Arabidopsis thaliana: one gene and its partners. The protein of the gene in region 1 purifies or fractionates together with the protein of each later gene. This does not show direct contact. Each region holds a gene or a part of one and is shown in the gene's direction. Other genes may lie near its edges.

Evidence for each region.
Region 2: the proteins of PPC3 (region 1) and PDC3 fractionate together in Arabidopsis thaliana (co-fractionation; one large-scale study listed by BioGRID). This does not show direct contact.
Region 3: the proteins of PPC3 (region 1) and PDC2 fractionate together in Arabidopsis thaliana (co-fractionation; one large-scale study listed by BioGRID). This does not show direct contact.

The regions. Positions count from the first base shown.
Region 1 is NC_003074.8:5,021,919-5,031,415, forward strand, and holds PPC3 (phosphoenolpyruvate carboxylase 3), read left to right. Parts: upstream 1-3,265; 5' UTR 3,266-3,448; intron 3,449-3,464; exon of another isoform or gene 3,465-3,621; 5' UTR 3,622-3,665; coding exon 3,666-3,833; intron 3,834-4,021; coding exon 4,022-4,416; intron 4,417-4,502; coding exon 4,503-4,587; intron 4,588-4,683; coding exon 4,684-4,906; intron 4,907-4,993; coding exon 4,994-5,097; intron 5,098-5,180; coding exon 5,181-5,271; intron 5,272-5,377; coding exon 5,378-5,532; intron 5,533-5,705; coding exon 5,706-6,707; intron 6,708-6,790; coding exon 6,791-7,177; intron 7,178-7,261; coding exon 7,262-7,558; 3' UTR 7,559-7,968; downstream 7,969-9,497. Other genes in the region: HEME1 (Uroporphyrinogen decarboxylase), read left to right, coding at 1-66, 162-397, 482-659; TTL2 (tetratricopetide-repeat thioredoxin-like 2), read right to left, coding at 8,298-8,450, 8,535-8,641, 8,724-8,928, 9,002-9,335, 9,422-9,497. UniProt on the Arabidopsis thaliana protein: Through the carboxylation of phosphoenolpyruvate (PEP) it forms oxaloacetate, a four-carbon dicarboxylic acid source for the tricarboxylic acid cycle.
Region 2 is NC_003076.8:130,928-138,381, reverse strand, and holds PDC3 (pyruvate decarboxylase-3), read left to right. Parts: upstream 1-3,461; 5' UTR 3,462-3,574; coding exon 3,575-4,060; intron 4,061-4,125; coding exon 4,126-4,289; intron 4,290-4,362; coding exon 4,363-5,013; intron 5,014-5,285; coding exon 5,286-5,592; intron 5,593-5,673; coding exon 5,674-5,844; 3' UTR 5,845-6,118; downstream 6,119-7,454. Other genes in the region: AT5G01320 (Thiamine pyrophosphate dependent pyruvate decarboxylase family protein), read left to right, coding at 6,757-7,275, 7,362-7,454.
Region 3 is NC_003076.8:22,309,217-22,316,298, reverse strand, and holds PDC2 (pyruvate decarboxylase-2), read left to right. Parts: upstream 1-3,466; 5' UTR 3,467-3,617; coding exon 3,618-5,441; 3' UTR 5,442-5,746; downstream 5,747-7,082. Other genes in the region: AT5G54980 (Uncharacterized protein family (UPF0497)), read right to left, coding at 92-203, 283-500; AT5G54970 (uncharacterized protein), read right to left, coding at 2,651-3,028; AT5G54950 (Aconitase family protein), read left to right, coding at 6,057-6,224, 6,411-6,467.

The DNA.
Region 1 (9,497 bases):
GATTCCTGGGGTGGCCAACTGACTCCGGAGATGTGGGAGCGCTGGTCCAAACCATACATTGAAGAGGTACAATTAAATGCTTTCAACTTGATTACTTGAAAGTTGAAACATTTTCTTTTCGCGTTTTAACGTTTTTTTTTTCTGCCATTTGGGCTCGCCAGATCATACATGCTGTAAAGAAAAGATGTCCAGATACGCCGATAGTTTTCTACATCAATGGAAATGGTGGCCTTCTTGAGCGAATGAAAGGAACTGGAGCTGATGTTATTGGACTTGACTGGACTGTAGATATGGCTGATGGAAGGAGGCGATTGGGAAGCGAGGTAAGTGTGCAGGGAAATGTTGATCCAGCTTACCTATTCTCTCCGCTTCCTGCTTTGACCGAAGAAATTGAAAGGTAGGTCACTTTGTTCAGCTGAATAAAAAAGTAGTGCTTATAATTCAAATTAAGAAACTGAAAGAAATGTATGTTTTGTGTCAGAGTTGTGAAGTGTGCTGGACCAAAAGGGCATATTCTCAATCTAGGACACGGTGTCTTGGTAGGGACACCAGAGGAAGCCGTGGCTCATTTCTTTGAAACCGCTAGAAACTTGGATTACCAAACACTTTTCCAAAATCATGTTCCTGCAGAAAAAGCTGAACCTGAATTGGTTGTCTGAGAAATGGTGACTAGACAAGTGCCTACGCCGAAGAATTTGCTGTTTAAGTTTTGTGAACATATGTCTGAATCTCTTAAACTTGGTGCAGGAATGAGAGAAAAAGTTCCATGTCTGACCCTTAATCGATGCTAGAGTTGGTAACTTGCTATGAGATATATGCGAAGCTGTCCAGTTTTTGTTTGGCTTGCTTGAGGATTTCCAATCTTCTGGACCAAGCTCTGCTTAACGTTTAACAATGTATTGAGTTGCTCCTAGGCTTCAAATGTTGCTGCTTCTTTTGGAGATATGACTCTGGTTAAAGTTTAACCAAACATTCATTTATCTGGTTAATCTCAAACCTTTGCTATGTTTGTTATCCCACTTTTTTCATATGGTTCTTTCTAGATCTCTGTATCTGGTGTGTCTTCTCTCGTGATCTCAACATTCGATGTGAAACCAGGTAGATTGTAATATTGTATCATAGACTGCAAAAGATAACGCAAAAGAGAAGTCTCTGATCTCAACCTGAATCAGACTTGTTAGGAGTCCCTCTTGTTTGGTTTAATTCAATTTTCCGGTTCGGATTTCTGGATTATAAACCGAATTAACTACAAACGGAAAAACGTACCGCGTTATTGCGGTAACCAGCAACTTTAATTGGCCTATAGTAGAATCAAATGAAAAGAAAAGAGCAATTTTTTTTTTTTTTTTTTGGTTTTTTGGTTAAAGAAGAAAAGAGCAAATTGGAAAAACAAATAGATAAGATAATTTATATGATTTAAAAGTCAAATGTAATCACAACATATAAATTTTAACTTATAAAATATAGTCACACCATTGCCTCATCGTATTTGCTTTCATGAATCATCCCACCACTTGTAAGCTTTATTTTATTAAGAATGAAAACGGAGAAATATAAATTGAACACTATATACTATTGTCGTCACCCTCCCCGAATGTTTCTGATAAATAATGTTAACTATCATCTAATACGTCAACCGGATTATCACCGACACTGACCCCACACCTAACCACTGATGCACAAGTTTATATTAGTGTAGGTATCATCCACAATATATTATCCAATAATTGAACCTTGTTAATGTCTTTGGTTCATAAAGCGATCTATAATCAATTCAGCATTATTGCTAAAATTCAAATTAAGAAGACGGCATGATTTGTTAAAACCATAAAGAAATACAAAAGGGTCAATGATAAAACTGTTTAAACGAATCAGTCTACCCAAGAGCCGTCTCTCGAATACTAGTTTTAAATTCATAAGCGTATAGAGTTTAGTGATTCCAGAACACTTTACAGGCCAAAATCTAATATTTCGATATTTTGAAACGACATTTTTAGTCCTATAATTAAATTTGCAACGTATTAGATTACTTTTAAAATGTGATACTGCGAAGAAAATGAATCAAAAGATTGAATCGAATATTCGAACAGACGGACAAGAACCCACGAAGCGATACAGATCAGAAACTCTGCTTCTTTTTTTAACAAGAGATCACAAACTTGGTTGACTTGAGTTCATATTATAATGACGTACTCAGTGATTCGAATATTCCATAAATAGTCGTAAGAATAAAGACCTTAATGTATACATTGTTCATTTCGTATGCCACATTGACGAAGATCACTGATATAAATTTCAATTATATAAATGTAAAATAACAAAACAAAAAGTTACATGTTATCAAATAGTGTCATTAGCTAAATAACATGTTACTTGGCCACCACATCACTTTTGTTGAGAAATTTCTAAAATTTGGCTATTTAGTGCATATACCCTTTAAAACTTGTTGTAAAAGCAAGGAAGAGGAAAAAAGATTGAACCTATAGCAAAGGAAAAAGAAAAGAGAGTACATATTCTTAAGTCTTGATTACAATATTTTGTTCTTCAACATATTCTCTTAGAGTTGAGATAACATAAATTATAATATAGATGCTCTATTGGGTAGCAGTAGATAGAAGAACATATGCTGAAAATCATTTTTATAGATCTAGCAAATCACCTTTATAAAGGATCCAGATTTTTTTTTTTTTAACTTTTTGAAAGTCAACTTGATCATATGTGAAAGTTAGAGTCAGAGATTTATGCATCTTCGTGCATAGACAAAATGCATGCACGAGCTCACACGATCCTGTTTTTTTTTCTTAATGAGGTAATTTTCTTGCTGTCATTTTTTTTTCTAAAGTTAAGATTCATATAAAAACCATATCAGGTAATTCCTTAATTTTGTGTAATAATTAAGAAATCAGGATCATTAGATCTTTGACCACCAAAACTCAAATTTGTTCCCAAATACACTCAGTTAAAGTACTATCTTTAATCATTTCATATTCGTTACTTTGTAAATTAGTACAAAGTAAGTAACAAATTTTAGTTTACCCAATGAAATGGAATGAAGTTAATGAAAATATTCGTTCTTTTAGAATATTCTTCTGCTCTTGACAGTGTTTAATTATTTAATTTTCTTACTTGAAAAAATAAAATTGACCAACAATTATTTTTCTTACCTCATGTAGATAACTTACAAAATAAAACATATATATATGTATATATATATTTATTTTCAACTCAGAAATAAATAATTCTAACGAAAAAATATGAAATAATAAAAAAATCTGACTTAAAAAGCGCGCATCGCTCATGCCAACACACTCCCTCGTCTATAAATACTTCACTCTGCTTTCCTCAATCACATCCATCTCTGAATCTGATTCCACATCTTAAACCCTTATTCCCTAAACATCGAATTTGGTTCCTTCTCCCACAATCCGCAGAGATTTCTTCTTTTCAGGTTTGTCAATTCATTTTTTTTTTCAGTTTGAGTTTTGTTTTGTTTTTTCGTGATTTTCGGTCAGTCTACCAAATCCCCTGTTTTTCCGGCGATTCAGTTGTCAACAGATTTTGCTTTTCTTTTTCCCTTTTTGTGTAAAAAAACTCATTTCCTTTTTGATCTGATGATTACAGAAGAAGTAAGAGGGTGGCGAAGAAGATTTGATTGATCGGCGATAATGGCGGGTCGGAACATAGAGAAGATGGCATCTATTGATGCTCAGCTTCGGCAACTCGTTCCTGCTAAAGTCAGTGAAGACGATAAGCTTGTTGAGTACGATGCTCTTCTCCTTGATCGCTTTCTCGACATTCTCCAGGATTTACACGGCGAGGATCTCCGTGAAACGGTACACATCCTTCTTCTTTGGATTGAATCGATACCCATTTGCTAGAGATCCTAAAAATCTCATCTTTTTGTTTCGATTAGTGATTTTAAGTTTACCCGATTATTTAACCTACGTGTTAGTTATGTATAAAGGATGGAACTTTTTTGTTTAGATTCATTTATGTATTGATAAAATGATCTTGTGCACAGGTTCAAGAGTTATACGAGCTTTCTGCTGAGTATGAAGGGAAGCGTGAGCCTAGCAAGCTTGAGGAGCTAGGGAGTGTCCTAACGAGTTTGGATCCTGGTGACTCAATTGTTATCTCCAAGGCTTTCTCTCACATGCTTAACTTAGCCAATTTGGCTGAGGAGGTGCAGATTGCTCACCGTCGCAGGATCAAGAAGCTGAAGAAAGGTGATTTCGTTGATGAGAGTTCTGCAACTACTGAATCCGATATTGAAGAGACTTTTAAGAGGCTCGTTTCGGATCTTGGTAAGTCTCCTGAAGAGATCTTTGATGCCTTGAAGAATCAGACTGTGGATCTGGTTTTGACTGCTCATCCTACTCAGTCTGTGCGTAGATCATTGCTTCAGAAGCATGGGAGGTTAGTTTTTGACTTAGTTGTTTTCTGGAGAGAGTGAGAAAACTCTGTTTGCTTGTGTGTTGACCTGACATTAAATGTTTTCTCAGGATAAGGGACTGTCTTGCTCAACTCTATGCAAAGGACATTACTCCTGATGACAAGCAGGAGCTAGATGAGTCTCTGCAAAGAGAGGTAAGAACTCAACCTCACTGGATTGTAACATGTTGATTTGATATAATCCTCGGATAATAGATAGATTGGCCTTTGAAACTCTCCTTTTTTGTTTAGATTCAAGCTGCATTCCGAACAGATGAGATTAGAAGAACACCTCCAACCCCACAAGATGAAATGAGAGCTGGAATGAGTTATTTCCACGAGACAATCTGGAAAGGTGTCCCCAAGTTCTTGCGCCGTGTGGACACAGCTCTGAAAAACATTGGGATTGATGAACGTGTTCCTTACAATGCCCCATTGATTCAATTCTCTTCGTGGATGGGCGGTGATCGTGATGGTACATGCGTTTTTTTGGATTACTGGCAAACGAATCACTCTCTTGTTTTCTCTTGTTCACCCTCTAATCGTCGTATCTGAATTTCAGGTAATCCGAGGGTCACACCTGAGGTCACTAGAGATGTGTGCTTGTTGGCTAGAATGATGGCTGCCAATCTCTACTATAACCAAATCGAGAATCTGATGTTTGAGGTTTTTATCTCTTTTTACTTGTACTCATTTCCCGGTTTTCATTCTTTAAGATTCTCTTGATTCATTCGTGTTCTTCTTGGCAGTTATCTATGTGGCGTTGCACTGATGAATTCCGTGTGCGGGCGGATGAACTGCACAGGAACTCAAGGAAAGATGCTGCAAAACATTACATAGGTTAGAAGCTTTGGACATTTTCTTCTTAAAAGAAACACATACTGCAAGTATACAATGGTATTGGTTTTGCATTCTTAACTTATTTTTTTTCTTTAACTCAATGCAGAATTCTGGAAGACAATTCCTCCAACTGAGCCATACCGTGTGATTCTTGGTGATGTGAGGGATAAGCTGTATCACACACGTGAGCGTTCCCGCCAATTGCTGAGTAATGGAATCTCGGATATTCCTGAAGAAGCTACCTTCACTAATGTGGAACAGGTGAGCAACCTCTATACTCTGAATTTGTTCCTTACTAAATTGTTTCCTGATTTTAACAACTTGTTAGTTCTTGCCATTAGAGTTTCTATCATTATCCAGCCTTACACTTGTTTCCCTCAATAATATTCACGGAATTCAATTGTGTTTACTGTTCTTTTATTCTATTTATGCAGTTCTTGGAGCCTCTTGAGCTCTGTTACCGATCACTATGTTCATGTGGTGACAGCCCGATAGCTGATGGAAGCCTTCTTGATTTCTTGAGGCAAGTCTCTACCTTTGGACTCTCCCTTGTGAGACTTGACATCAGGCAAGAGTCTGAACGCCACACAGATGTCTTGGATGCTATCACCAAGCACTTGGACATCGGTTCCTCCTATAGAGACTGGTCTGAAGAAGGCCGACAGGAATGGCTTCTTGCTGAACTAAGCGGCAAACGTCCACTTTTCGGACCTGATCTTCCCAAAACCGAAGAAATTTCTGATGTCCTGGACACATTCAAAGTCATATCTGAGCTGCCTTCAGATTGTTTTGGAGCTTATATTATCTCTATGGCAACTTCACCTAGTGATGTGCTTGCGGTTGAGCTTTTACAGCGCGAATGCCATGTGAAAAATCCACTTAGAGTTGTTCCACTCTTTGAGAAGCTAGCTGATCTTGAAGCAGCTCCTGCCGCTGTTGCAAGACTCTTTTCTATAGACTGGTACAAAAACCGTATTAACGGTAAACAAGAGGTTATGATTGGTTACTCAGATTCAGGGAAAGATGCAGGGCGTCTCTCAGCTGCTTGGGAGCTATACAAAGCTCAAGAAGAGCTTGTGAAGGTTGCTAAGAAATATGGAGTGAAGCTAACTATGTTCCATGGCCGTGGTGGCACAGTCGGAAGAGGAGGTGGTCCTACTCATCTTGCTATATTGTCTCAGCCACCAGATACAGTTAATGGCTCTCTTCGAGTCACGGTTCAGGGTGAAGTCATTGAGCAATCATTTGGGGAGGCACACTTATGCTTTAGAACACTTCAACGTTTCACAGCAGCTACTCTAGAGCACGGAATGAACCCTCCGATTTCACCAAAACCCGAGTGGCGTGCTTTGCTTGATGAAATGGCGGTTGTTGCAACTGAGGAATACCGATCTGTCGTTTTCCAAGAACCTCGATTCGTCGAGTATTTCCGCCTCGTAAGTATTCATTCATATCAATCCAAATTTCACCAAAGTTTTTGTGTGTTTTAAGTACCTAAAACCGTTGGTTTGGTTTGCAGGCTACTCCGGAGCTGGAGTATGGACGTATGAATATTGGAAGTAGACCTTCAAAGCGAAAACCAAGCGGTGGGATCGAATCTCTCCGTGCAATCCCATGGATCTTTGCTTGGACGCAAACAAGATTCCATCTTCCTGTATGGTTAGGTTTCGGAGCAGCATTTAGGTATGCGATCAAGAAGGATGTGAGAAACCTTCACATGCTGCAAGATATGTATAAACAATGGCCCTTTTTCCGAGTCACCATCGATCTAATTGAAATGGTGTTCGCCAAGGGAGACCCCGGGATCGCTGCTTTGTACGACAAACTTCTTGTCTCAGAAGATTTATGGGCTTTTGGAGAGAAACTCAGAGCCAACTTTGATGAAACCAAGAACCTCGTCCTCCAGGTATAACATAACAAAAAACAGGGTCCTCTGTTTCATATTTGTTGGGTTTGTTCTTGCAATAACACTAAACTTGCGTTGTTGCAGACTGCTGGACATAAAGACCTTCTTGAAGGAGATCCTTACTTGAAACAGAGACTAAGGCTACGTGACTCTTACATTACGACCCTCAACGTTTGCCAAGCCTACACATTGAAGAGGATCCGTGATGCAAACTACAATGTGACTCTGCGACCACACATTTCTAAAGAGATCATGCAATCAAGCAAATCAGCACAAGAGCTCGTCAAGCTTAACCCCACGAGTGAATACGCGCCTGGACTTGAGGACACACTTATCTTAACCATGAAGGGTATTGCTGCAGGATTGCAAAACACCGGTTAAGTGAGTCAGTGAAAGAAAACAAAACTTCGAATCTCTCTTTTTTATCTACCCTTTTTAATAATCTCTTTTTTTCTAGAATCCAAAATAATTACGGTTGGATTACAGTTTACTTTATGTATCCACCGTTGAAATCTTAATCTTCCATTGTATCAAACGTCACTGACTCTGTTTCTGGAAGTGTAAACAAGAACAGAGACAGTGAATCTTAATGTTATCTTCTTTGTCTTTTTCTTTCTGGTCTCTGTCTCAGAATCGTTTACATTTGTTAATACGTTTAAATTGCACGTCGTCTAAAGTCTGACTGTGGTCCCTGAAACATGTTAATAGAACTATGCCGTTAAAGAAGGGAGGTGCTTTGAGGAAACGACACCATTTTTTGTTTTGCTGTTTAAGACACATGGCTCGCATTTGGTCTGCATGTATTATAGCGTACAGTTCTCACTGTAACACTGCTTAAGACTTAATTCCACCCTAGTGTTAATCAAAGAGACAAAGAATACGTAGACAAAGACTTTTTTTATTGATGGAAAAATGTTTTGACAACATGAATGAATGGTTTTCTCTCTGCTTATTTTATATGGTTTCACCACCTAGGTAGCCAAAATCTGCTCTATTTACACATTACTAATCTCTCTCTTTCAATTTCTAAATCTAACAGAGCAATAAATGAATCAAATCAGATTACTGACAAGTTCTCCCCTTTTTTTTGTTTTTGTGAATATTAAGTGTTTTGAGTTTGCTAAAGGCCATAGTGCCTCACTGTTTTCTCCAGCGCTTCCTTGCTTGGACACACAATCTCTTTCATCCGAATCCCAAGTTTGTATATCTTAAATGTTGGCACAACTCTCACTCTTTCTGCATTACCCACTTCTGGACATTTTACAATCTCCACCTGTTGAAAGACAATTTCACAAGTAAGTTTACTTGTTCTTTGGTTTACATATAAACAGTTGTTTCAAAGTTTTTGTTTTTTCACCTTGAGGAAATGCAAAGATGGGTAACGAACACATAGTGCGTCCACGAAAGTGGATATCTCCTTGCATTGTGGATCAGAAGCTCTAAAAAAGTGTACAACTGAAACTCCTGCCAATGAAGTATATGTACAACAAGTTAATAATGAAAGTTCACTGACTATAAGAGCATAGAAGATTAAGATATCACTTACCAGGACGAGTTAATGCAGCTTTTAACTCTTCAAGACTAGATATTTCCTCAACTTCACCTCCAAATTCCATGTTTAGAACTACTTCGCCGCGAGATTTCTTTAATGCAACTTGAGCATGAAATAAAGATTCAGCAATTTCCTTGTCATAAGGCAGTTCCTTTCTTAAGATCTCATAATCACTCACTGCTTCAGCCCATCTTTCCAACTACAGTTTCATCAAAAAGAAACTTAGCGCAAGTGAAATGCAAAACTAAGTCATCATACCATATATATTTTACCTTGGTATATAAAGCAGCTCTTTGAAGACGAGGCTTTGTGTAACTCGGTAGTATAAGCAATGCATGGTTACAATCTTCTATTGAGCTCTCCCACATTCCAACCTTAAAGAAACAATCTGCTCTGTAACATAACAGAGTAGCATTGGATGGATCATACTTAAGGCCTTCTGCATAAGCTGATCTTGCTTCAGTGTATCTTTCTAGTTCATAAAGATCGTTACCACGATCACGCGCTCTAGTTATTAATCTAACATTTTTATACAAAATTTCAACTTCATTGTTTTGTGGATCAATCTTTGAAGCTTTCTCTGCAGTTACAACTGCATTTTCAAACCTGCAAGAATTCATCATCTTCACTCCTTTTACCAATATGACATCACAATAAAACAATAATCAATCAACATGTGTATAATTTTTCACCTTCCTAGAGCCAACTCCATTTGGGATTTGACAAAAGATGTGTAAGCTTCAGCGATCATATCGAAAAACCGAGTAT
Region 2 (7,454 bases), on another chromosome or scaffold:
AATAAGTAGGATGAGAGGATAGGAAGGAGAAATACTTGAAGCATTTTTTTGAAGGCTCAGGCTGGTTATCAATCATAACAATACAAGATGCATGGTCGGAGACACCCGGAGGATCAAAAACCGCTAATGCAGAAGGGAAGGAAGAAAACCACTCATCATTAGCCAAAGCCCTGTCCAGCTTCCTTATGATCGGATTATCCTGTTGATGATTTGACCAAGTGAAGAACACACCCCTAGTAGGCAGATCAGAGAGCTGATTGTCCCTCAAACAACCCTGAAAATCTTCCATACCACGAATATTGAAGGCTGACTGTGTGATAGAGTAATGCTCAGAAGAAGCTGCTATCTGATTGAAGTCCCCCAACAGCAACCAAGCGGTATGAGAGAGAGGGGAGGACCTAGACAAAACAGAAATATCCTCCCAAAGAGATCTCCTTTCAATATCATTATTCCTTCCATACACAAAAGCAACCGCAAAGGATTGAGATAAATTGGGCAGCTTTATCCTGCATAACATAAATTGATCTGTTTTCTTAAAAACCAAAACTGAGATGGAAGGATCCCAAACAATCCATATCCTCCCAAGATCAGAGCAACAGTAGTTGCTATCCATCCTCCAACCAGGAAGGGTTGAGGCCAAAACCGAGTTTGCATTCTCCTCTGCCACGTGAGTCTCCAAAAAACATCCGACAAGAAGATTATTAGAAGAAGGACCTTCATATACACAACAAAAGGTGAAGGTGAAAGCACAGCTTTCAATGAGAAGAAGGACCTTCAAGGTCCTTACTAGCAGCTAAATCAATAGAACCTGCCTCAGAAGAACGGAGACGATTATGCCACTTTTTGAGTTCTTTCTTCTTAGCCTTAGTAGACATGACTGTCCAACCCATAGGCAAGGGAAAACTGGGATCTGGATCTTTGATGGAGTCACGCATAGACCTCTTAGGTTGAGCAGCTTGTTGAATAGAACCAGAACCCTGAATTACTCCAACCTTGAGATCAGATGAGATCGTTCCTGGTTTTGCAACCCACCTTTTACTAGCCAAAGTCTGCGATGAAAGAGAAGACTGGGGAGAGAAAGGTAATAGAGGGTCAGTAATCCGTGGAGGAGAGCTAAGGGATCGCTTTTTTGATCTAGAGCGCCTCCTTTTTGATTTCGACAAAGGTATCTCAGCTGCAATAGGAGGAGAAAGGTCGACACCTCTAACTGAGTCACTACTTCCAGCTGCCGGAAGAATATTGGAGGAAGAGCCACCTCTTTGGCTCCTGAAGGAGAGTCCTTCTTAAATGGCAATTTTTTCTGAAGAGGGATGAGGCAACGACTCAATAAATGTCCGTATTTACCACAATTTAAACACTTCGGCGGAGGTCGAGGATACTCCACATCAACCCTAGCAGAATTACCCTGAACATCCTTTACAACAACAGAAGAAGGAAGAGGCAAGTCCAGCTTGATCACCACCTTAACTTTAGTTGAACCTATATTGATGGGGTCTAATCTTGATTTTTCTGTGTGAAGAGGAACCCCTATGGCACTAGCAATAACACTAATCCCTTCAAGCGAATAGAGCTGAGGAGGAACATTCTTCAATACAGCCCAGGTTGGAGCAGTCTTCAACTCATCAATATTAAGGAGACCTTCTGAAGACCAAGGGTAGACTGTACAAGAACAGTTACCAGCTTGCCAGAATCCCACATCCACCACCCATTGGCGAGTATTAAGAGCCGGAATAAAAATCAGAGCCACAGTCTCGGAGACGATGCGAACGGTAATATCACCGTAATTTCCCCAAATTGGATTCAAATCAGAGAAGATCCGGGTTGCAGGAGGACAAGAGCCATGAAATTGAGCTACGACATGGCCCTTCCACAAAGCAGCAGACTTCAACAAGACCGAGGAAGGAGCGATCACAACCGGAGTACCATCTTCCAAGTAAGTTGGCTGACTCATTTGCTTAAGGTTATGCAGTGAAGCCTTAAACTTAGCTACCCAAGGAAGATCAATTTTTGAATCGGAGCTGGGGGCCTGAGAGGAAGAGCCCGAAATAGGAGTCGAAGACTGAGGAATAGCAGATCCCAAAGAGAGAGACTTGGTAGCAACCATATCTGAGGAGCCAACAGGCCCTGAGCTCGGAGCTAAGAGAGGAGCTGAGCCAACTGAAGGAGTCAAAATGGGGGAACCAGCGGAGGAGATCTCGGACACTGATCCCAAGCCAACCGAGGAGGAAATTACAGTAGGCAGAGGCTGAATGGATGACCCATTCGCTTCAATAGCTACCAGAGGAGTAAGAGTAGACGACTTCGGGATGAGAGAAACAGTCTCCGAAATAACCTCGGGAGACAAGGAATTCTCTTCCAAGTCGAAAACCAGAGGAACAGGGAGAACCAGAGCCAAAGAGCCAGCGCAGGGAAGACCAGAGGAAGGAGGCGAAGCAGATCCGGAAGGAGCAGACGACGACAGGGGGACAGAGCCGGACTGAGCGCAAGCCAAAACCCGAGCGAACTTTGAACTGACAGGAAGGAGAGGGATCTTCTTTTTCTTCTTAGACATGACAAGATCTCAACCGGCGAGAAGCCGGCGACCAGCAACGCGGCGGCAGAAACGGAAAAACCCTAATCGCCTAAAAGTTGGTCACATTGTTTATGTACTCAAAATGAATGTTGGGAATATATTACCGGCGACTCTGTTGGTTTGAGATATTAACAATGATTCGAAGAGATAGTTTTCAAGGTAATCACTAAACACGTTAGAATGTCTGGCAAAAAAAAAATTTACACGTTGAAATATACATTGTTGTTTAACAACATGTTATTAACCCTTTTTTTTGGTTTTAATGTTATGAAAACATAACAACTTGTTCTCACGCGTTAACATGTGCTCCCACGTTAACACATTAATAATCCATTTAAATATTAATGAAATAGCAATGTTCCATCACCATGGAGACTTTTTGTTGTTCATGTGATACTTTATAATGAGCGTCGTAAGTTTACTAACATAGATAAGAGTGTAATTTATGAGAACAAGAACAATTTGTTCCCAAATCCCAAGTAACAGAATTAGTATGAATCGTTTAACTATATAAGAAGCAAGGAACAAAAAGACTCGCAATGTTGTTAAATATGGCCACATACACATGTGAAGTATTATGGTATGGGATCACGATGTAACTCTACCCTTGCGCGCATCACATGTAAATTATTGAATTCTAATAATTTATTTCAAGTTAATACAAGTCGTCTTGAACAATAATACAACTGATCAGTATATCTTTATAAACAATTAAAATATATTATTTTCGTTTCTTTGCACGTTGAATTAAATGTAAGTCCAGAGAGGAAAATCAGATGATTAATTCTGTATGTCTAATTGAACATTTTATAATATAATCGTATGCATTATTCGTATAAAAAACTATATAATTACTAAACAATTTTATTACGAAATAAACTGGTAGTGTTTTGAATCTACTACAACGCACAAACAACTATATAATCCAACAGCATTATACTGCTCACAAGAAAAACAAAGAGAGCTTCATCATCATATCCTAATTATTAAGCTCATTTTCCAATGGACGTCCGAAGTCTACCAAGCAACGGCGTCGCAACAATCCAAGACTCCGCTCCCACCGCCGCAACCATACTCGGCTCCTCTGCAGCGACTCTTGGACGTCACTTATCCCGCCGTCTTGTCCAAGCCGGAGTCACCGACATTTTCACTGTTCCCGGTGATTTCAACCTATCTCTGCTTGACCAGCTCATCGCCAACCCGGAGCTCAACAACATCGGGTGCTGTAACGAGCTAAACGCCGGTTACGCCGCCGATGGATACGCTCGATCTCGTGGAGTCGGTGCTTGCGTCGTGACTTTCACCGTTGGTGGACTCAGCGTTTTGAACGCTATCGCTGGTGCGTACAGTGAGAACCTACCAGTTATATGTATCGTTGGAGGTCCTAACTCCAACGATTTTGGCACTAACCGGATTCTTCATCACACCATTGGTTTACCTGATTTTAGCCAAGAGCTTAGGTGTTTCCAAACTGTTACTTGCTATCAGGTATAACCACATTATCGAATCTTGATCATCACATTCTTAGATTTTGACAGTGTGTTTGTTTTCAGGCTGTGGTGAACCATTTAGAGGATGCTCATGAACAGATCGACAAGGCGATAGCAACAGCTCTGAGAGAGAGCAAGCCTGTGTACATTAGCATCAGCTGTAACTTAGCTGCCATTCCTCATCCTACATTTGCTAGTTATCCTGTCCCTTTTGACCTAACTCCAAGGTAAATATAACTGATCAATCCTGTTCTCTTCAAGAATCAAGCTCAAAGATGTGTGGATTGTTTCTTAAATTAGGTTGAGCAACAAGGATTGTTTAGAAGCTGCCGTGGAAGCAACATTGGAGTTTCTAAACAAGGCCGTGAAGCCCGTTATGGTCGGTGGTCCCAAGTTGCGTGTGGCTAAAGCTAGGGATGCCTTTGTGGAGCTAGCTGATGCTTCAGGCTACCCCGTGGCAGTGATGCCATCTGCCAAAGGCTTTGTCCCAGAGAACCATCCTCATTTCATTGGCACTTACTGGGGAGCAGTGAGCACTCTTTTCTGCTCTGAGATTGTCGAGTCCGCGGATGCTTACATCTTCGCAGGTCCAATCTTCAACGACTACAGCTCCGTTGGTTACTCACTTCTCCTCAAGAAAGAAAAAGCCATCATTGTGCATCCTGATAGTGTCGTTGTGGCTAATGGTCCTACCTTTGGTTGCGTTCGGATGAGCGAATTCTTCAGGGAGTTGGCTAAGAGGGTGAAACCTAACAAGACGGCTTATGAGAACTACCATAGAATCTTTGTCCCTGAAGGTAAGCCTTTGAAATGCAAACCAAGAGAGCCTTTGAGAATCAACGCAATGTTCCAACACATTCAGAAGATGCTCTCTAATGAAACCGCTGTGATTGCTGAAACTGGTGATTCTTGGTTCAATTGTCAGAAACTTAAGCTGCCTAAAGGATGTGGGTACGTATCTAGAAAAAGGAAACTAAATCTTTTACCTTTTAACATTGTTGAAGCAGTCAATATAAGCTCATCTAGTAAAGTCAACATCTAGAAATTGCTGGTTAAAGAGTGGTGGTATATATGTACTTGGTTGGAAACGATATAAAATGCCTTGGTATTTAGCCTGAGATGATTTATGGGCCTATATAGATATCCCCAGAACTTTTTAGTAATTCTCTGGAAAAGAAAAAACACACAAGAGTTTTAAAAAGTCGTTGTTCTCTATATTGTAGGTACGAGTTTCAAATGCAGTATGGATCAATTGGTTGGTCTGTTGGTGCGACTCTAGGATACGCTCAAGCAACACCGGAGAAGAGAGTGTTGTCTTTCATTGGAGACGGAAGTTTCCAAGTGACGGCTCAGGACGTTTCCACAATGATTCGTAACGGACAGAAGACCATCATCTTCCTGATCAACAACGGTGGCTACACCATTGAAGTTGAGATTCATGATGGTCCTTACAATGTGATCAAGAATTGGAACTACACTGGTCTTGTCGATGCTATTCATAATGGTGAAGGCAAATGCTGGACCACAAAGGTAATTGATGTTTACAGTTGGAAATTAAACATATGAGTCCAGGGTTGAAGAGTAACATTATGAATGTTGTGTTTTTGGTAGGTGAGATACGAGGAGGAGTTAGTGGAAGCGATTAACACGGCGACATTGGAGAAGAAAGATAGTCTTTGTTTCATTGAAGTGATTGTTCACAAGGATGATACGAGCAAAGAGTTGCTTGAGTGGGGCTCTCGCGTCTCAGCTGCTAATGGTCGTCCTCCCAATCCTCAGTAGAAGCAAGAGAAAAGAAACGAATCTTGAGTGTCGCTCAAGCATCTATCGTTTATTGGCAATCTAATCACATCGCTACTTTTGTTCTTTCTCTTATGTCTAATTAAGTACTGGTTTCGATTTTTTGACCGCTGGTTTTAATTGATTTTGCTTTTAATATCCTTCATATTAGGGAACCCCTTGTTGACAAAGTTTTCATTATAAACTTCAATATTTCTGCTTTTTCTTAAACGTGAAATGAAAATTGTTGATGGAATCAGGATGGAATATTCTAATCTTATTAATGCCTTTACGTGCATGTAAATTATTGAGTTCCAATAATTATACTAACTTCTCAATATAAGGTAATAAAATTCTTGAACAATACGAATCTAGTATTTCTTTAGGTTCTTTTTCGTTTCTTTGGCAGCTACTTAATGTAAGTTATATCATAGTTAAGACGAAAATCAGAGACTTAATGCTGCATTAATGGTTCATCTTGGCAAACAAGTTCAAAGATACATATATAGTTAATAACAAAAATAAAATAAAAAATCCATGTTATACTCTAATATAGTTTGAAAATAAATTTATTTTCATCATCTTCTAACGTAAAATGTCTTTTCGTATCACAAAAAATTATAAATTTTTTAGTGCAAAATAAAACGTCCGTGTTTCGTGTATATAAGTATCAATTTATATAAGTAAATTTCTATCTGTAAAAAAGTAACTAAATGTAAGATGACAGCAAGAAAATTGCAAAAATATTTCAGTAAATCTTTATGCTTTTGGCACAAGGAAGTCAGAAACCGAATGTAATTTGCACTAATCAACATGTACAACTATATAACCCATCTAATAATTCCAATTTATTACTCATCATCACCACTAAAATAAATACTAAAAGGTTTCATTTTCTTCATAATAAGCTTTCCAATGGACACCAAAATTGGAGCCATCGACACGTGTAAGCCAACAACTGGTGACATCGGAAGTCCACCAAGCAACGCCGTCGCAACAATCCAAGACTCCGCTCCCATCACCACAACCTCCGAATCGACTCTAGGACGTCACTTATCCCGCCGTCTTGTCCAAGCCGGAGTCACCGATGTTTTCTCTGTTCCCGGTGATTTCAACCTAACTCTTCTCGACCACCTCATCGCCGAGCCAGAGCTCAACAACATCGGATGCTGTAACGAGCTTAACGCCGGTTACGCCGCCGATGGATACGCTCGATCTCGTGGAGTCGGTGCTTGCGTCGTGACTTTCACCGTTGGTGGACTCAGCGTTTTGAACGCTATCGCTGGTGCGTACAGTGAGAACCTACCAGTTATATGTATCGTTGGAGGTCCTAACTCCAACGATTTTGGCACTAACCGGATTCTTCATCACACCATCGGTTTACCTGACTTTAGCCAAGAGCTTAGGTGTTTCCAAACTGTTACTTGCTACCAGGTATTAACACATTTCAATATCAACTAGTCTTGATCATCACATATATATCTCCTTTGCTTAGATTTTAACTATGTGTTTGTTTTCAGGCTGTGGTGAACAATTTGGAGGATGCTCATGAACAGATCGACAAGGCGATAGCAACAGCTTTGAAAGAGAGCAAGCCTGTGTACATTAGCATC
Region 3 (7,082 bases), on another chromosome or scaffold:
CACCCAAAAAAATATAAAAACATTATTAACTAACATAAGAAATTGCATACTAGATATTTGATAAATGATTGAGAAGATAATTTTAAAAAACCTGGTCAGGAATAAAGAAGAGCCAAGCTTTGGAGACTAAACATGTGACCCATGAAGAAACAGTAGAGAGCAGAGCATAAATAGCAGATATGGCACTCACACCAACCATATACCTACAAATTATAACTAATTAATTAATAATTATAAAATACTTACTAAAAAGTTGAAAGAAAGTAAAGAGTATATGTTTACTTGAGACCCATGATGGAGTTGTACTCTAAATTGCCGTAGTCCGGGTTGGATTCGTGGTTAGTGACAGTTAACCAGATGGTTGCAACACTGAGAGGAACCACACTTAGTCTGAGACATGAATCTATGATCTTCAAAGACATAGGAGCTTGTGGTTGTTGCTGCTTTGAAGAACTGCTTCTCTCTTCTTCTCTTGTGTTGTTATTGTTGTTATCTCTCATCTCTGGTTGATTGGATCTGAAAATCAAATTTTTTTTTTTTTTTTTTGGTGTGGTTTTGGAGAGGAAGAAAGCTATAAAAATTGTTGAATAGCTTCAAGTGGATTTCTCAGTTAGATTATCTATCTCTTTATATATAAAATAAATATGTAGATATATGTGTTTGTGGTCACAATACATATAAAAACAAACTATAATAGATACAAAAAAGTTCCTTTAACTTCTACTCTTTTTATGATTAACCTTTGAAACCGCGTGGAAAAAAAGAAGAAGTGATTTTCCATAGAAAAACTTACAATGTGAATATGGATTAAAGTTTTTTCACCATCTCCGGATTGTAGCTTTATCTTATTAAAGTTAGAATTTTGCTTTAAATCGTTAATGATTTTGATAAATTTTATATTTTTATTTTATTTCGAGTGGCACCAAAAAAATTTATGGTTGTGGAAGTGACATGGACGAGGCAAGTGCGGTGGTTGCTGGTAGCGAGAGAGATCGACATTTGGCTTGCCTTGGTGGGCAGTGGGCTTCATATGAATCATCATGGCTTTGGATTATTAGTTTTACTTGAGATAATCTTAAGTATTGAGATGCTTATTATTTTTAAAATCGTTGCTAAATATTAGTACGTTCTTTACATTAAGTGATGACATTAGCATTAGTCAAGGTGATGTCACATCATACTTCTAAAGAATTCTGCAACAACAAAATTAATCGACCATAGGGAGTCTGCATTTACATTGGGTTTTCAGATTTCGCCATTTTGGTTTAAGTTTAGGTTTGATTCAGTGAGAAAAATATCAAAATCAAACATAACTTCATATTTTATAATTCGGTTTGAGTTTATAGCTTTGAATTTACGTCGGTTTGGTTCTATCGACCGTGGTTTAGTAGCTTTAGTTGGGGCTCAGTTTGGTTTATTTCAAAACCTACTAAGATATATGGGTCTACGTCGACAAAACATGAACGAAAACAATATCAAATAGGCTACGAGTTGTGTTTTCACATCATGTTTCATTATTTTAAAAGAAACAATTTGTGATTTGGTTGGTTTATTCGAATCTAGTAGTTTGGACGACTCACGTTTATGTAATCTCGTGATACGAGAACAATTCCACTCCTTTCAAAAAAGTGGTTCTCTCTCTCTTTTACCTCTATTTTGAGGTTGATTTATCAATGCACATGTGGAATAGTTGTAGTACTTGATGCATTAAATTTATACATAATGGGGAGATATTGAAAAAGTAGTAAAGATGAAGGATTTGACAATGAAGAGAGTTAAATAAAACTTTGAAGGGTAGAAAGTGAAAGTTATGAATGGTCTCTTACATATAACATACATATGTACTTGGGGATATCAACATCAATTAATAACCGATTGCATAATCAGAGGGTAAAGAGGTTCAGTTGGATCAGGATTCAAGTTCAACCATATGGGCAGCGACGTTTGCTAAAGGCAACATATAGATAACCATCATTACCCATTAGAACAAATGAAAGAAAGCATATAGATAAAACTTATTAACATCGAATGATGAGACTAAATAAACCAAGACCAATGTTCCATATGCGGTAATACCACCAAGCAAATGAAATCTGTTAACACCCATCGACAAACATAGGTAACCATTTGGTCTGAGACAATAGCGTCTGATAATAGCAGAAGGCAAACATTTTTACCCATCACAACAAACAGAGAGATAATCAAAACCTATAGATTTGAGATGTTTAGATTAAGCAAAGCAGAGAATTGACTGAGGTAACATAGCCTATGTCAATTACAATCTAACAAGATGATAACAAATTTGAGAAAAATATATGTAGTCTTATATCATTACTCTTCGAATCTTTAAGTGTTTGGCTAATCTTTCAAAACAGTTACAACACTTAAGAGTTACATATACATCATTAAGAATCCCAAAATGATACTCATGTAAGTGTTCATTAATATGTAGTGAAGGAATCTATAGTCAAATCCAAATCGTAAGATATCAAATCAACACAAACATTAAATTAACAAAGATAAACTCATCAATTGAAAACACACAATTTATTGATAATTTAATGATTCATATAGTGAGTCTTATGATAGTATTAAACATTTTACCCGAATTGTATCATCAGATTACAGATTTGGTAGAAACTAGTTTAACTCAATGAGCAATAACATCACTACTGGGTTCAACAAGAACTGAGTTTATAGGAGGATTGATATTCATCATCATCATCGACGAGACAGATCTAGCAGCGGCTAATTTCTTCCTCTGATAACTGTAAGGACCATAGATCTTTCTTAGAAGATGTGGTACCTGATCTATCGTCAGATTCCGCGAAGCCGCTGCTGCTTCATCAACCGAGTTCTCAGATGGTGAAATCGGATCTACTAGCTGCGAGAGGGAGGAGCGAGATACGAGAGATGTAGTAGATCTAGCGTTGATTCTCGAGTTTCGGATCTGAGCAAGCGCTCCTGGTTTTAAGTAGCGGTGGAATCCGTCGCTTCTTCTCGCCGGAGATTTAGAGATATCCTTCATGGTAACGATTTGGTTAAGCTTGGTGAAAGAGATTGAAGAATCTGATGATCGAGAGAGCGAGAAAGAGATTGTGGGAGATATGTGATTGGAGATTGGGGATCTACGGATTTTTGTAATTGAGTGAGAGCGGCGGGAAAATCGGCGTTAGGGGGGAAATACGAGTCTCTTTAGGGTTTCGAAAAGTCGCCAAGAGCGGGAGTTTCTTTTTGAGTCACGTGGTATTGACACGAACCGGGTCGGATCCTATATCCAATCGGGTCCTATGATGCCCTTGTGGGCTGCGCATGAGAGCAATTATTCTCTGCGGACTCACAACTATTCTCAACGTGAACTTTCTAACTTGTTCTCCAATATCCAACTATATAAGGACACGTGTCAATCTCAGAGACACATAAATATCTGCGGCTAAAAATATCTTATTAGCCGCCTATTTCATACCACCGTTTGATTACTTTAGCCACCGTTGTTTTACGTCTATAATTAAGTATCTTCCACTAATCTCATATTTCAAACTGTACTTTTACCTCGAGCTCTCTCCAATTTTCTCATAGCTCTATTGTTCGAAAATTCTGAAACGAACGTTACCACTATGGACACTAAGATCGGATCTATCGACGCGTGTAACCCGACCAACCACGATATCGGCGGTCCTCCAAACGGCGGAGTCTCCACCGTTCAAAACACAAGTCCACTTCACTCCACCACCGTCAGCCCCTGCGACGCGACTCTTGGCCGTTACCTAGCAAGACGGTTAGTCGAAATCGGCGTCACCGATGTCTTCTCCGTTCCTGGTGATTTCAACCTGACGCTTCTCGATCACCTAATCGCCGAACCAAACCTCAAGCTGATCGGTTGCTGCAACGAGCTTAACGCCGGATACGCTGCTGACGGTTACGCTAGATCTCGCGGTGTTGGTGCGTGCGTCGTTACGTTCACCGTCGGTGGATTGAGTGTTCTGAATGCGATCGCCGGTGCTTACAGTGAGAATCTGCCTCTGATTTGCATCGTCGGTGGTCCAAACTCCAACGATTACGGTACCAATAGGATTCTTCATCATACAATTGGTTTACCTGATTTCACTCAAGAGCTTAGGTGTTTTCAAGCTGTTACTTGTTTTCAAGCTGTGATTAATAACTTAGAAGAGGCTCATGAACTTATCGATACTGCGATTTCAACTGCTTTGAAAGAAAGCAAACCTGTTTATATCAGTATCAGCTGTAATTTACCGGCGATTCCTCTTCCGACGTTTAGTCGTCATCCTGTTCCGTTCATGCTTCCGATGAAGGTTAGCAATCAGATTGGTTTAGATGCGGCGGTGGAGGCAGCTGCTGAGTTCTTGAACAAAGCTGTGAAGCCAGTTCTTGTTGGTGGGCCGAAAATGCGGGTTGCGAAAGCCGCGGATGCTTTTGTTGAGCTTGCTGATGCTTCTGGCTATGGTCTTGCTGTGATGCCTTCTGCTAAAGGACAAGTACCTGAGCATCACAAGCATTTTATAGGGACGTATTGGGGAGCTGTGAGTACAGCTTTTTGTGCTGAAATCGTTGAATCTGCGGATGCTTATCTGTTTGCAGGTCCGATTTTCAACGATTACAGTTCTGTTGGGTATTCTCTGCTTCTCAAGAAGGAGAAGGCAATCATCGTTCAGCCTGATCGGGTTACTATCGGTAACGGACCTGCGTTTGGATGTGTTCTTATGAAGGATTTTCTAAGCGAGTTGGCTAAACGAATTAAGCACAACAACACTTCTTATGAGAATTATCACAGGATCTATGTCCCAGAAGGAAAGCCTTTGAGAGATAACCCGAATGAGTCTTTGAGGGTTAATGTACTGTTCCAACACATTCAGAATATGCTCTCTTCTGAGTCTGCTGTGCTTGCTGAGACAGGAGATTCCTGGTTCAACTGTCAGAAGCTGAAGCTCCCTGAAGGATGCGGTTACGAATTCCAAATGCAGTACGGATCAATTGGCTGGTCAGTGGGTGCTACTCTAGGCTATGCTCAAGCCATGCCAAACAGGCGTGTCATTGCTTGTATTGGAGATGGTAGTTTCCAGGTAACCGCACAGGATGTATCTACGATGATACGGTGTGGGCAAAAGACCATAATCTTCCTCATCAACAACGGAGGCTACACCATTGAGGTGGAAATTCACGATGGTCCTTACAATGTCATAAAGAACTGGAACTACACAGCTTTTGTTGAGGCCATACACAATGGAGAAGGAAAATGCTGGACTGCCAAGGTGAGATGCGAGGAGGAGTTAGTGAAAGCAATCAACACGGCAACCAATGAGGAAAAAGAGAGCTTTTGTTTCATTGAAGTGATAGTGCACAAAGACGATACAAGCAAGGAACTTTTGGAGTGGGGCTCTAGAGTCTCTGCTGCTAATAGTCGTCCCCCAAATCCGCAGTAGAGTATATAAATGCACTCAACTTATATATATTTCAGATTTGGTAGTGTCTTCACCGTTCTATGTAAAGTAGTGTGGATCCTTTTACACCCATCTGGATGGGAAAAAAATGTGTGTCCCCTTGAGGATATAAACTGTTTGAGTGCCTAAATAAGAACTTGTTTCCTCTGCTTCATCTTTCGTCCTCAGTTTTACGCAGATTTATCAGAGCTATAGTCTTTGTGTCTTGGATTGGTATGTTGATTGACTTAAGAAAGTTGAGATCCCATCCCAAGATGCCAAATGATTACTTTAAAGGCAGTTGGTAGAGTCCTTTCTTTTCCCAATTTATACTAACTTTTGTTTTACCTTTTCTTGCTTTCTGTTTTTTTGGTTCATGGCTAAATTTGATCTTGTTTCTATGAGGAATGCAGTGAGGCGTCTTGGGAGTGATCCACTGGTTTACAAAACGACTTCATCGCTATGCTGTTGTAATGTGACGAATCTTTCGCTGTTGGCCATAATTTATGACTTAAGTAGGATTAAATAGCTTATTCCATAGTAACTCCCCTAAATTTCTGCATAGAGAAACCTGTCCAAATTTGTGATGCAGCTTGAATTCGACAGGAATTGGGGTTAATGGCCTTCAAGTCCGGTGAAGATGCAGAAACCCTTGGACTAACTGGCCATGAACTCTACACAATCCACCTTCCTAGTAATATCAATGAGATAAAACCAGGCCAGGACATAACTGTGACTACTGACACTGCTAAATCTTTTGTCTGCACTTTGCGGTTAGACACAGAGGTAATCACAAAAGCTTTTGTTTAGATTTGATTGTCACCATATATTTAATGGTCTGACTTGGTTGATTGGAATTGATCAAGTGGAACTAACATACTATAATCATGGCGGTATGCTTTCGTATATCATTCGAAGTTTGAGCAACGAGTGAGTGATTTTGATTTAAAAACATCTCCTCGCTTGATCTAGATTTGGGTTCTTTGCTTCATCAAAAAGCAAGTAAATTCGGTGAGTGACAATGTGTAAAACGTTTTCAACATAATGTATCAGAACAATCTGCAATAAGACGTCTCTTCTTTTGTCAGACAACCACAGATATCGAATAAAATACGAAATCATATTGACTTCGAGATTCTTCTCGCAAGTGTTGTTATTGGACCCACTTGTGGCTCTTATTATCTTTCTTTTAATAAATGCTCTTAATGGGCCTACACGGATATGAGAGTTGCGCGTCCATTATACGCAAAGAAAATAGATAATTATTCTCTGCGTCTCACACCAGTTATTCTAAACGTGAAACCTTCCCCACTTGGTCACTAATTCGAACTTATCCATCCACGTGTCTAGAAAATAATAGATCTACGGCTAAGATTTAGCCGCCATAAAAAGAAGATCTATGGTAAAAAAAAAAGGTCTATAAATACAAAACCTTCCTTAAGCTTTCTTCTTCATCAATTGAATTAACAAAAACTCCAAAGACTCCATCGAACAAAACCTTCAGGTACGATTTGTTCTTTCTTTTGTAGATTTGATCGTTTCGTTGTTTGTTGTTCTCTGTTTGATTGATTGCTCTCTAGTTTTAATTCGATTTAGGGTTTTGAAGCTTTCTCTTTGTTCGTTGTTTCGTTTTCGAATCGGATT